2 linked regions of the Astyanax mexicanus genome follow. The protein of the gene in region 1 interacts with the protein of each later gene in a pairwise test. Links are inferred from orthologs where the notes say so. Each region holds a gene or a part of one and is shown in the gene's direction. Other genes may lie near its edges.

Region 1 (7,820 bases):
GCTGGAGTTCCTTTAAGCTATTCCTGTGTGTGTGCGCGTGTGTGTGTGTGAGAGAGAAACAGAAGGACTTGAAAGGCTTGAAAGACTGTGTACTGAACTCTCTGCTTGAGTACAGCACCTCATCTGACCTAAGATATCTTTGGCTAGCCCACACGTTTAGATGTGTAGAACATGTGTGTTGGAGTTTATGGTCTTGAGGAAAGCATGCAATTAGGCCTAACTGTGGTGATACACGTATTGAAGTGATGATTGTACCTTTATTTATGAATTGACTATATTTTTCTGACTTAAAACAGTTTTAAGTGACCACTGCTTGCACCTATATTTGGTAACCGAAGCAGTAACATGTTCAATAGTTATTTAACCCTGTTTAGCAAAGTTATACTCTTCCTCCTTTTAATGAAGATGATATTTCGAAACACAACATTCATCACTTTATCATTTCTAGAAACCCTCAGTCTGACCAAAAACAGAAAAATAGAAATAGAGGTGACAAATCATTTGTGTTTTATCCTTTCCCTGATTAAATAAAACAACATATCAATAAAACATATAACATCTGTAAAAAACTAAGGTAAACAACACAGTGCATGCAACAAGATTAAAATCTTTGTTCATCTTATTTCATACAGCAGTAAAAAAAATGGTAGCAACACCCTTGGAAGCAATCTGTGATGCCATAACTCCACCCTTCGAAACAACTACTGAGCATCACCTTAGCAACCACCTACTATACAAAACAACAAAACAGCTTTGAAACAAACTAGCCTAAAGATACTACTGTAAAGCAACAAGAATAGAAGCTAAACATAAAAATCATGGTTGCTCACAAAAAAGCACCAGAGACACAAACACACAAGTAAACATACATTCCAATACTACAGTTCCATTCTGTGGTTCAGAAAATTCACATTTGTGAGCCTGATTTTAGTCAGTTTGACACACAGACCAGAACTGAACCTAAACCCACTCTTTGCTGACCATCAATGCTATAAAATGACGAGTTAATGTACAGACAGCTTGGATACCTTATGTTCATATGGAGGTGGCGCAGGCCCCTGCCAGGGTGGAGGATGTGGAGGTCGGACGTGGTTAGCATGGTTAGCGTATGGCCCGTGAGCTGGCTGGGTGCCAGGCTGCCACTGCTGTTGAGGCTGTGTTGGCCCATATCCGCCTGAATGGGGCCAGGCTTCAGGCTGGGGCCTTGAGTGCATGGCCTGCTGGGTGGGATACCCAGGGTTGGAGGGGCATCCATCTCCATAGTGTGGGTACGAATTAGGGGGATATCCAGGACCCTGCAAGAACAGTGAACAAGAACAGAGGCTGTACTATTAAACCTTAAAAACGTATGTGTTTAGCTGGCCAGTCATATCAAAAGCTGTGACCTTTACTATACGATATAACGAATGATACCACTAAAAACATGAGCAAACATAAAAGGTTAAATAGTGGATCATCACCTACCCCTTGGCAATGCGGTACAGCATAGGGAGGCTGAGTAGAATTCCCCGCGGGCCGATCAGCGCAGCCCTGATTATGATACTGAGGTGGTTGCCGTGGAGGAATCTGCTCACTGCAGTAGAACGGATTGGATGGGTGCATCATATTGGCTGAGTACTGTCCTGGATTGTACACCCCATTGGGATAGCCTGACATTGCCTGAAATAAAGGCACAGCAGTTTGATTTTCATAAAAAGTATATATACCAAACACCTTTAATACTCTAATATAATTAGTATTACTCTAATACAATTAATCTACTATGAATCTGCAGTCTGTGTAATTTTAACAGTATGAAGGCAATAATTGTAGCATGATTTTATGTCAGTATTAATCAGTGCATTAGTCAGTGTATTTTTTTTTATCCAGTGTGAATCTGCAAAAAAACTTTAAGCACTGTGTTAAGACAAGAAGGAAGATGTGGTACTGTACCTGGGGATTGTACGGTGCTTGTCCATTGACCTCTGCTCCAGAGGGGTATGTGTTACTATACGGTCCAGCAGTATGCGAATGAGGGTACCAGTAGTTTGGTGGATAGCCACAATATGGATTAGAGTCCTGCCGTAAAGCAGAAATTACATGATGTTAGTCCTATAGTAGTTGTCACCACTATATTAGTGGTTCACCATATGGCTGAATTGAAGAAATAATACAAATTATTTTGTAACATTACTTTTACATTAACTGTACATATGTTTATCCTTCTCTAGCCCATATTATAAGCTGCCTCTTGTTTTCTCCTCAATGTTGGTACATCATTAAGGCTGATGCCACTACTTGCATGGCAATTTCCCATATTCTGCGAATTTTCCTTTGTTTGTTATGATGTTATTTTTGTTCCTGCTATCTCTTTTCCCTGTTTTTTGCTTTTAAACCCTGGCTATTATTCTTTCACAGCAGGATGATTCTGCATGACAGCATGGGACTGTTCAGCCTTTAAGGACTTATGGACACCACTTTCATCAGTACTAATATTTAGCATGTGTTCTGCAGTTACTCAGATTTTTATAATACATGACCTGTTTTTACAATAAGCACAAATTGAAATAATAAAGTACTATTTGACCACTCATTCTGCAGTCACTTTTGGACCCAGATCTCTGCAGAGCTGCTCTATGACAACATTTGCTGTAAAGAATTGAAATTTATTTTAAGTGTGACTGTTTTAATCAATTAAAAAACAACGAAGCCGACATAGTAAAGGTTTCTTTATGCTAACTGTATAGAAATAAAAATAGGTATCAGATCTGAAAGGCATTATTTCAGTACAGAACAGAAGCACTCAGGAAGCTTTGGTTCTCCAACACTGAAGATAAGGTGCACTTAGGTTACAACTTTACCAGTAGTGTAGGGATACATTTGGTAAATTCTGACAGTATTATATCGCTGCTATGCAGAAAATGGGATAATTTAGGATATCCAACTTTTATTAACAACCCAAACACACTAGCAAACCTAGCTATAGCTAACTGCTTGTATAAAGGCCACCTAATTTTACGCAATAAGTCCTGTTTCTCTAGATAACCAACTTGCTGACCAAAGCCAGCAATGGCCGGTCTGATAACTTATTCAACTAAACTACAAACTTAGGCAATAAAACGAACATCTCTCTGCAAAGTAAATCAGGGTTGTATATTTATGTGAGCTAGCTAACTACATAGAAAACACACTAGGTTAACATGTCAACGCTACTACAGTTTAAGTGAAGGTTAGTAACTGAAGTGCTGGCAATAGCTGGTAAGAGATGCTATGCTAAAGCTAATTGAATAGGACGGCACAGTTTGCTCAAAGTCAGCTGCGTAAACTTTTACACAAAGTGAATTAAAACCGTGTATTATTAAGATGCATTTGTATTAAATGTAAATAAAACGTTAAGCTGCTTCTGTATGAATGATACACTGGTGTCAAACACAGCTTAGCTTAGCGTAGTTTAGCTTAGCTTAGCTTAGCCTAGCCTAGCCCCGGTTCTTACCATCGCTCCGCTCCAGCTGCTCTCCGGGTTGTACCCGGGGCTCCAGCCCGCTTTCGGCTGCTGCATGTGCCGCTGCTGTTGCAGTAGCCACGCCGCCTCCCCGCTTCTCTCCGCTCCGGCTGAGTCGTAGGCCATCCACTGCTAACAGCACGTTATTGGTATTAATATGATTATTTTTATTATTACTAATTCATTAACCCATCATTCTCGCCATCGTGTCGGGTGTAGCTGCAGTGTGACTGAATCTGCGCGGTGCTGTAGCCTGACCTGAGCAATTAAATATTTATTTAAATCTTATAACGTATTCATATATATATTTTTTATGGCAAAAATTATTGTAAAAGCGCGTTACTGATATCCTTCTTTAGCTCTACAGTTCAATTAATTAAACATATTCACGCATAACAGCAAAGTGCTGCTGACTGTCACAGAAAAAAGCAAGCAGCCAATCACAAATAGGGACAGGAATATCTAGCCAATCACAATGTGCACAAAAACGAGCTAGCCAATCACAAGCTGGGTTACAATGTACGTTGCTTTATATGTATTTTAATCAATCGAATCGAAGCATTAAAAATATAATATAACTCTTTGCTTTTGAAAAAATTAATTGGATAAAATATTGTAAAATATATTTTCTGCATAAATAATACAAATCCCAAGGATAAATGACATACTTAAAATTATATATTTGTTATTCCGTGATATTTCGAGATATGTTTAGATGTTAAGATGTTTCTGTGCCTTGTCAGGGGTACAAAATGTATTTATAAATTTGAAATACAAAATATATTGATACTCTTTTTTTTTAGAGAGTTCTATATTATAAAGTAAACGATATCTTATTTTATGTATGATTATGATTTTGTAAAATCAAAATTAGTTTGTTTATTTTTTATCTGTAACTATAATTTCTGTCATAAGCTCTGATTCAACATTTAATTGTTAAAGTTACTGTATTTTGACAACCTTGTTCTTGAGACGGTAGCTTCCAAATCAGTTGGAGTGAAGCAAAATGTAAAATACAGCTAAAGGATTAAACAGAAATAGATCACAAACATAGTAAATGAACATAAATAAATAAATAAATAACAGTTACAAAGGAAATAACAGATAAAATCTCTAATAAATAAATACGTGGGAAGAAAGCACTACAAAATAAAAGCATAATAATTAAAATAATTATTAAGCTTATAGATAAATGATAAAAAAAAATGCATGGTGCGTTTAAATTAACATTACATATAAATAAAACTGCAAAAAAAATCTCAAAAACGAATATAAAACATATCTTTTGTAAAAAGATTTGTTTTATAAAATGCGAGTGGGCCCTTTAAAGGGGTGAGCGTGCCCCGGAAGCTGTGCTATAAGAGCGCTGCTGCTGTAGTTAGTTTGGGTGCCAGGAGGTTTGATATCACACTGTCTCTAGGTTTTTTGTGCTTTAAACTCCCCGCATGTCTGCAGGATGAATTACATGCCAGGCACCGCCAGCCTCATTGAGGACATCGACAGTAAGTTAAAAGCTCCGCTGGGCTTTACTACCCAGCCTAAAGCCGCTGGAACTCCAAATAGCTGCGTTGTAATTGGAATTGTTCGGTCCACCTTAAATGGTGCAGTGATTATATTCTGAGTCCAGCTAGCACAGTAATGTACCTGCTGCCCTATTTAAGGTGGAGTGGAAATTTAAAGCAATTAGCTATCTTAAACTTTCTTACTGCTAAAGATAATCTAAGTGTGTTTAATCTTGCGTTTCTGACCACGAACTGTGTACAATTTATACATATTGTATTTTTTTTCTCTACACCTCATTCCTCCCAAGATGAACCTGGAGGTGGTCTTCAGGGTTTGGGCCATTAGATAGCTAGCTAGATCGCTAACAACTACAACCACTTAAGTACTTGCAAATTAAACCTTTATAGACTTGCTAAAATGCTAAAAGTTAAATATAACACAGCTGGAGCTGGCGAACATTGAACTAGCTCTTTATGAATTCTTAGGATGACATAACAAATCCAAGGAAGGCTGTTTTGTGTGACTTATTTTGCCAGTTTTGTTGTTGCATGAAACTGTATAAATGTCTTTTAAGCAAATAAGCTTTCTGTCTGTCTGATCTGTTTTTGTTTTTCTTCCAGAAAAGCACCTTGTTCTGCTCAGAGATGGGAGAACACTGATTGGGATCCTCAGAAGTATAGATCAGTTTGGTAAGTAGATCCAGTGTTCAGTGAAGTAAAATAACAGATCCAAGTGAACCACTCAGTATGATCAGTATAATATATTTATATGTACACCAGTGTTTCCCACTGAACTGACACCCATTAAAATGAGCTTACTAAAGTTCCTCAGAGTTGGATTAAGAGGCGTTAGGTGTGCTTGGCAGTAGTTGGACATCGTTTAAGTTGTTCCATGCTTCACTTTTATTCGATGCCCTTTCACAATGAAGTGGTAACCTGCCTTTAGCATGGATGCACTGATCTATATTATATGGTACATCTATTTTAAAACTGCTTGAGGGTGCATAGAATATAAAGCCATGGTGCTAACTACCGAATAACAAATGATCTCACTGCATTAGCAGCACGGTCAGTATTTGAAGTTTATTTGCATCAGTATTGTTCTGCCCATCCTTGTCAGTTGTATGTTATTCATTAACAGGTTGTTAATATTTGATCTCTGTTCTCTTTAACAGCAAATTTAGTTTTGCATCAAACAGTGGAACGTATCCACGTTGGTAAGAAGTTTGGAGACATACCCCGAGGGATCTTTGTTGTCAGAGGAGAAAATGTTGTCTTACTTGGAGAAGTAGTAAGTTTACACAGTTTTTGTTTATTTTTCTTTCTGGAAATGTTTCCATTAAAATAAGATTAAGCAAAATGAGTCATGGTATTAAACATAAGCCTTGTTTGTTGTTGCTAGGATTGACAGGCTTTAGAGAATGCTGGGGAAATATCAGTCAACCTAATGAAGGGCTATAGTGTGAATAGTACCTTGGTGTGTAACACAGTACCTGCATTAAGGGCCAAATACCTGGCCAAGGATTAATTCTAGTCATGGACTCAATGGAAATTTAAAATGTAAAAGGTAAATAAGAGAAACTTGTTAATGTTAAATATTAACACCCTGCTGTGGGAAATTTGGGAATTATTTTGGTACCAGGGGTTGAGCTTACCTTTAACCTTTTAATACGGTGGACTGACCAAATCAGTGTGGCTGCATTGTGCGCACTTTTTTTTTTTTTTTTTTCCCCACAACTATGATCTGGGTGCAATAAACATGATGTAGAATAATACTATTTTATTGGACGGGTAAGGAGGAGAGCTGAGATGTGTTATGAATGAGGGGAATTTAAGAAGCATGTTTTATTGGAATTTAACCTACACTCTCCTGTTTGGATTTGTTTATTGTCTGCTCTGTAGGACCTAGATAAAGAATGTGATCAGATCCTTCAGAGAGTTTCCATTGAGGAAATTCTGGAGGAGCAGCGGGTGGAGCAGCAGGCAAAGCAGGAGTCTGAGAAGCGGAAACTACAGGCAGTAAAGGAGCGAGGCTTGTCCATCCCTAAAGCAGACACATTGGATGATTTCTGAGACGCCTTTAGGTTAATTTTTTTTGCTTGTTTTGTTTTCAGTTTTAGTGAGTATTACACACGTGACCTTCAATGAATGCATCACAGAAGACTGTGATCATGACCGTTTTTGTTTTTATGTAAGTCATGCTCTGCGTGACCATTACCATCTTTTCCTTTACGGCCGATGGTGCCGTATTGAAACTGAAGATGGACCAAACGGAAGCACTTGGCCTGCTGGCTTTTATTTTGAACTTTGTAGAGAAGAATAATGGAACCTTAAACTCAGTGTTTGTGTCGTTGAGGTGATGTTATGGTGGCGTTTATGTTGGTATGCTATGTTAAATCACGCTAAACAGCACTGAAGATATTTTTGTTCTATTAAACCTATTTTGTACTGAATAATATTGAGTGGTTTCCTTTGTGCGACAAATGATTTGTGAAATGCAGTCTGTTCTTGCCTGATTGCATTTTATTAACCACCTTTCCAGTTCTTTACTTACCTTAAGGGGAGCCAGTTTACATGAAAACAAAATATATAAAACTAACCTTTTCTATAATTGTATGATGTTGGGTTGAGAATATTTTAAGAGAAGCATTCAATTCCACACTTATGTTGTGACTTTTCAAGTACTTCTCCAGCGTTACTTGCTAGCTTGCAGTGTCTGTGTAATTCCCTCATTTGCCTTATGGTGTCGCCAAATACTGAAAACAAGTTATGTTTTAGAGAAATGTACCAAACTTAATCTTGTTCACAGTGGTGGTGAATGAAATCGTATCAAACTA
Region 2 (6,833 bases), on another chromosome or scaffold:
AAATATTTTAAAGTATTTTAAAATAATGATATAACAGTTTACTTAATGATAAGAAAAAAAATGTGCAGGATTTTTTGTTGTTGTTAATTTTACATGTCAGGGCTTCCATAGTATGGAATTAGTCCCATATAGGAATATGCATTCTTTTTTTAGATTATTATAATGCTGATTGTAACCCATTTCCCCCCAAATTGGAAGGCCACTTACCATATTTTTTGCACTATAAGGCGCAAAAACCAAGCTGAACTGCTTGAATTTTTGCACCAGGAGTAAAGGCATAAAGCTATCCAAAAGCAGTGTGTAAGACTGGTGGAGGAGAACATGATGCCAAGATGCATGAAAACTGTGATTAAAAACCAGGGTTATTCCACCAAATATTGAATTCTGAACTCTTAAAACTTTATGAATATGAACTCTGAAGTTCTGTATCATTTTTTTTATTTCAAACATTTCTCATTTTCTGCAAATAAATGCTCTAAATGACAATATTTATATTTGGAATTTGGGAGAAATGTTATCTGTAGTTTATAGAATAAAGCAACAATGTTCATTTACTTATAAATATAAAATCAGAGAAACTGATTCAGAAACTGAAATGCGCTCTTAATTTTTTTCCAGAGTTATATGTGAAGTTAGACTCCACCCCTTTTCCACCTGCAGTTAATCAAAGCAGCATCACCTAGCAGCCAAAACTGACTCTTAATGCTCTCATAACTTGGGATCTGTATTTACTGATTGAACAGTGAAGCACCTCTGTAAGTCTTTCAGGATAAAAGCCTCTGCTGAATGACGTAAATGTAAAAGTAGGAGTTAAAGGTCATTCCAAGTAATCCGCGACAATACCCGCTATGCAAATACTGAATATTTGAATTGGACTTTGCATCTTTAGTCATTTACAGCCTACAACACATTGGCTAGACAAACAACCATTATATAAAATATAATGGAATACCCAATGGAAGGTAGCCTGGTGGGCAAGACTACAAACTGGTGGTATCTATCTATCTATCTATCTATCTATCTATCTATCTATCTATCTATCTATCTATCTATCTATCTATCTATCTATCTATCTATCTATATAATTCCAAACCATCCAGCTGAACAAACTACTAATGTTTTTTTAACACTCTGAAGAACCATTATTTAAGTATCCAGATGGTGTGTAGTACCATTGGCATTACTAAAGCACTGTTTAAAATTGTATTGTCTATTGTCGTGTTCATAATACAGACAAAGACTCCAGATGACATCACCTTTAGACAACACCACGACACCATGGCTACCATATGTCACTCTGGGTGGTCACATGACTGTGTGACTAACACAAATGTTTTGGGGGGGTGTATGTATTAAATTATTCAACACCAACTTTTTAACCTTGCAGTGCATTAGAGAAATACAGTACGTTATTGCGTAAAAGATACTAAACACTTTAAAGAAAAGTCTTGCATAGCTACGATAAGATAAGAGTAAGATATGTTGCTTTTTTCTTTTACTTTACAAACATCTGACCAGCCTTATCTGCAAGGACTGAGGACTAGTCAAGGTCTGACCGCTCTGATAAAACCTGTGGTAATACTGTACATACTGTATATACAGCACAACCTGGCTAAGAGGCTAAAAGCTAATGCTAGGTTGATAAGAGAAGGGAGAAGGATTGATTGCATGCAGACTGCAGGCTAACATATGCTAGGACTAAACCTAATCAAGCCAATTGGCTATAATCTCGTAAGTTATGATAAACAAATACTGTACTGATTGGACAACGAGAGCATGGCAACACAATCCAGTATGATTTAGAAATATAAGGGATGCACCAGAACGAATATATTTGGCTAAAATCAAAACCAAACAACATAAAACACTTGTCTAAAAGACAAATATTTAATATTAAATATTTTCAGCTGTTCTTTAAAGAAATTACAATTTAAAAATATTTATTAAACACACACCTCACGCACAATGTATGGACAGTTGACTGTTGTCAGGGTTTAAATCGGTCTGGGGGGTACCGTCTTCCTATGACAAGCTCAAGCTGTAGCCTGAACTCCAGCCCAAAGTTCCCTCAGTTTCCTACCCTATTGTTAACCTCAGTAGTGCTTTTCTAATCATTAATTTACTCCAGAAGTGCATGTTTAGTCACAAATGTGCCTCAGTAGTGCCACTTAAATCACATGTGAAGGAAATGTTCCTAGATGAAGGCAGCTAAGCATTACCTAAGCTAATGTTATTATCCTAGCCCTGTACAGCTTGTATTTTTAGCTGGAAAAAAATATATAGTAAAGAAAGAACAGATTGGATGCTGTACGCTTCACTTTGACATCACTAAAAACATGTGTAACAGTGTTAGGCTAGTTTGTGTTAGGCTATGCTAAAAGTCTTACACAAAGCTTTTACATTCACTACTGTGTTATACTCCACAACCTTCCTTTTTACTGATTGTCTGCATCTAAAAAAAAGCTTATTTAAGGTCTATTTGGACTTAAATAATCAACTGTACACCAAAATCTGTACAATTTATCAATTTAGCAAGGAGCCTGGCCAACTATTATCCCTTCTATTGCACCAAAAGCACAAATGAACAACACCAGAGGGCGCCACAGTGAAGTGATAATGTTTATAATGGACTTTTAGAGTTCTGGAATTTTTTCGGATTGACTAACCTTCATTTCTTAAAGTCATATTTTATTTATTTAGTTGAGTAGTTGTTGCCTCTCATAATCTGGATTAGAGCATTACTCAAATATTCACAATTCACTGTATACCTGTAACTCTACCTCTTCACTACTTTACTTTAACTGATGCTCTCAAACACTTTATTAAGAGACAAGAAATTCAAGTAATTAACTCCTGATGAGTTCGGCACAGCTGTTAACTGAAAGCCTGAATTCCAGGTGACTTAACAATAAAACGTTTTTTTTTATATATACCATATATTTTAATGGCTTTTTAATATTAGGACTATGTACATTTTAAAATTTGAATTATGTAAAAAATATATATTTTTTAAATAGCGAGTTTTACAAACTTTATCATGTTTATTAATTACGATCCCACATCATGCAATTGGATTAGCTGCTGTAGCCTTGCCTGCTGTGCTGGGATTGGCTAAGAAACCACCCTTCTTTCACAATGTATCCAATCATGTTGCAGAGAGGGTGGGACTTTCAGGGTTTTTTTTTCATAGTACCTTATATTTCATGCTACATTTATATGATAAAATGTTTATTTTTTTTCTTGATTTGTCTTAGTCAGTTTACAGATTTCTATTGTTTTTTTTTTTACATTTTATAACAAAATAAAACCTAATAAAAAATCTATCACAAAATAAAACTGCAGTAACATATGAAATTATCACAATATTTTTATTGTAGCTTTAGCTTAAAAAAATACCCTGAAATAGCGTGATATTATTTTATGCCAATATCATCCTCCTTTAATATATACTATAAATAAAACTAAATAAATGTCTATAGTCAACAACATGACTTTTGTTACCTTAGGTTTTTTTTATATATATAAGATTTAATTTATTTTTTTATTTATAGCGAGTTTTACCAACAGTTCCTGCAATGGGATTGGCTGATGTAACCTTAACTGCTGCACTGTGATTGGCTAAGAATCCACCCTTCTTTCGCAATGTCTCCAATCAGAAACCAGAGGGGGTGGGACTTTCTCGTTCTTGAACGGCGGGATGCTCTTGATGTACAATCAGCCCAGCCAATCAGCTTCTCGTTCTGGAACGCAGAAGTAAACCCACGAGCGAATCAGAGCGCAGGGCGGCGTGGCCTGTCTGAATACAGGTGTGTTAAGAAAAGTGTAGGAACGGAAGTTAAGTCGACTCGGAGGAGCGGCGCGTGCTGGTTTTAAGCGCAGCAGAACTTATTAAATTAATTACTATTAATATTCCGGGTTATTTGAGGGTTTTGGAGACTTTAGAGCATCATGAGCGACGAGGGTCAGCCGGAAGTGGAGCTTTTCGTCAAGGTGAGTTTGAGTTTCTTTAGGTTTCTCTATCTAAACTGTGTTTAAATTGGTTTTAAACTGGTTTCAGAGCCAGAAGTGAGGATAATTTGGTTTAATCATGGCTCAGACTGGCAGGTATATCAGTTAATGGTCTGATTAGAGGTGTGGAAGGTGGAGAAAGCTCTGTAGAATAAACTATCAGAGATAAGGATGAGGATAAGCAGAGCCAGGTGCAGCTCCCACAGCCTGCTCACCTGTGCAGACTGGTCAGATCCTCAGCACCAGCTGATCTGTACTGGGTTCTGGTGTGGTGGTGGTTCTGCTGGGTCAGTACTGGTCTGGATGGAAGGAGGTGGTGGTGGAGCTGGGCTGGGTTTTGAGGCGTTGGCGCTCGAGAGGAAACGCTGCGAGCTGCAGTTCACCCTCAAACACAGGCTGGAGTGTGTGTGTGTGTGTGTGTATGTGTGTGTGTGTGTGTGTGTGTGTGTGTGTGTGTGTGTGTGTGTGTGTGTGTGTGTGTGTGTGTGTGTGCGCCCGTATGAAAGCAGGCATTGTGTACTGGCACAGTTCTGAAGGCCAGAAAGCAGCTTTAGTGCTCCAGTGTCCAACAGCCCAGAAAAGAAGAGCAGCACTCAGAGCAGGTCAGCTAGAACAGACCATAATATTCACTAGTATAATAGTGTAAAACAAAAAAAAACCCCTCAAATTTTAAAGTTTCCATAATAATAGAATAAAAGGAATAATCAGAAAAGTACATTTTCTCTAGAAATGCAGAATGGTTGTGCAGCTAAACTGATTCGGACTGGTTCTGATTGCTGTGGGGTTGCTAATTATTTACTTGGTGGTTGCTAAGGTGTTGTGGAATGTTTGCTTGGTGGTTGGTAAGTGGTTACTAATGTGTTACTTAGTGGATAGTAAGGTTTTTCTATGTGGTTGCAAAGGTGTTCCTATGCTGTTCAAAAGTTGTTGCTAGATGGTTGCTATGGTGTTGCTAGGTAGTTGAACAGCCCGAAAAAAAGGAGAGCACTCAGAGCAGGTCAGCTAGAACAGACCATAATATTCACTAGTATAATAGTTAAAAAAAACAGAAACCACCAATATTAAAGTTACCATAATAATAAAACAACAAGGATAACCAAAAAAGTACATGTTCCCTAGGAGACACAGTATGGTTGTGCAGCTAAAGTGATTCGCACTGGTTGCTGTAGTAACCCAGGTGGCTGCTGTGGGGTTGTGAGGTGTTTTCTAAATGGCTACTAATTTGTTACTTGTTGGCTGATCAGGTGTTTCTGTGTGGTTGCAAAGGTGTTACTATGCGGCCAATATGTTGTTGCTAGATGGTTGCTATGGTGTTGCTAGGTAGTCCAACAGCCCAGAAAAGAAGAGCAGCAATCAGAGCAGGTCAGCTAGAACAGACCATAATATTCACTAGTATAATAGTTAAAAAAAAAAAAAATCAGAAACCACCAATATTAAAGTTTCCATAATAATAAAACAACAAGGATAACCAGAAAAGTACATGTTCTCTAGGAGACACAGAATGGTTGTGCAGCTGAACTGATTCACACTGGTTGCTGTGGTAACCCAGGTGGTTGCTGTGGGGTTGCGAGTTGTTTTTTTTTCAAGTGGCTAATAATTTGTTACTTGGTGGCTGATCAGGTGTTGCTATGTGCTTGCAAAAGTGCTACTATGCGGTCCATAAGTTCTTGCTAGATGGTTGCTATGGTAATGTGCTGGCTGCTGTGGCATTGCTAAGTGGTTGCTAGGTAGTTGAACAGCACAAACAGGAAAAGGAGCACTTAGAGCATGGTCAGTTAGAACAGACCATAATATTTATTACTATAACAGTAAAAAACGAAATAAAAAGAAACCACCAATATTAAAGTTTCCATAATAATAAAACAACAAGAATAACCAGAAAAGTGCATTTCTCTAGGAAATACAGAATGGTTGTGCAGCTGAAGTGATTTGCACCCATTGCTGTGGTAACCCAGGTGGTTGCTGTAGGTTTGCTAAGTAGTTATTTGCTGGTTGCTAAGGTTTTGCAGAGTGTTTGCTAGGAGGTTGCTAAGTGGTAACTAATTTGTTACTTAGTGGTTGCAAAGGTGTTACTAAGCAGCCAATATGTTGTTGCTAGATGATTGCTATGGTGTTGCTAGGTAGTTGAACAGCCCAGAAAAGAAGAAAAGCACTCAGAGCAGATCAGCTAGAACAAACCATAATATTCACCAGTATATTAGAAAAAATCAGAAACCACTAATATTAAAGTTACCATAATAATAAAACAACAAGGATACCTAAAAAAGACCTTTTTCTCTAGGAAATGCAGAATGGTTTTGCAGCTAAAGTAATTTGCACTGGTTGCTGTGGTAACTCAGGTGGATGATGTGGGGTTGCTATAAGGTGTTGCAAAGTGTTTGATAAGTGGCTACTAATTTGTTACTTGGTGGCTACTAAGGTGTTGCTATGTGATTACAGAGGTGTTACTATGCGATCGATATGTTGTTGCTAGATGGTTGCTATGGTGTTGCTAAGGTGGTATGATTGCTATGGTAATGTGTTGACTGCTGTGGCGTTGCTAAGTGGTTGCTAGGTAGTTGAACAGCACAAACAGGACGAAAAGCACTCAGAGCAGGTCAACTAGAACAGACCATAATATTCATTACTATAACAGTAAACAACACAATAAACAGAAACTACTAAAATATTAAAGTTACCGTAATAATAAAATAACAAGGATAACTAGAAAATGACATTTTCTTTAGGAAATGCAGAATGGTTGTGCAGCTAAAGTTATTTACACTGGTTGCTGTGGTAACCCAGGTGGTTGTTGTGTGGTCGCTATAAGATGTGGCCGAGTGTTT

Evidence for each region.
Region 2: the proteins of lsm1 (region 1) and clic1 interact in binary tests that used the Homo sapiens proteins (3 or more experiments, as listed by UniProt). The link is inferred for Astyanax mexicanus from reciprocal best matches to the Homo sapiens genes LSM1 and CLIC1.

The regions. Positions count from the first base shown.
Region 1 is NC_064419.1:32,067,282-32,075,101, reverse strand, and holds lsm1 (U6 snRNA-associated Sm-like protein LSm1), read left to right. Parts: upstream 1-4,820; 5' UTR 4,821-4,937; coding exon 4,938-4,983; intron 4,984-5,604; coding exon 5,605-5,673; intron 5,674-6,158; coding exon 6,159-6,274; intron 6,275-6,885; coding exon 6,886-7,056; 3' UTR 7,057-7,439; downstream 7,440-7,820. Other genes in the region: bag4 (BAG family molecular chaperone regulator 4), read right to left, coding at 1,029-1,295, 1,465-1,659, 1,933-2,058, 3,473-3,607. UniProt on the Homo sapiens protein: Plays a role in the degradation of histone mRNAs, the only eukaryotic mRNAs that are not polyadenylated. Probably also part of an LSm subunits-containing complex involved in the general process of mRNA degradation.
Region 2 is NC_064409.1:76,647,663-76,654,495, reverse strand, and holds the start of clic1 (chloride intracellular channel protein 1), read left to right. Parts: upstream 1-3,822; 5' UTR 3,823-3,948; coding exon 3,949-3,990; intron 3,991-6,833. UniProt on the Homo sapiens protein: In the soluble state, catalyzes glutaredoxin-like thiol disulfide exchange reactions with reduced glutathione as electron donor. Reduces selenite and dehydroascorbate and may act as an antioxidant during oxidative stress response.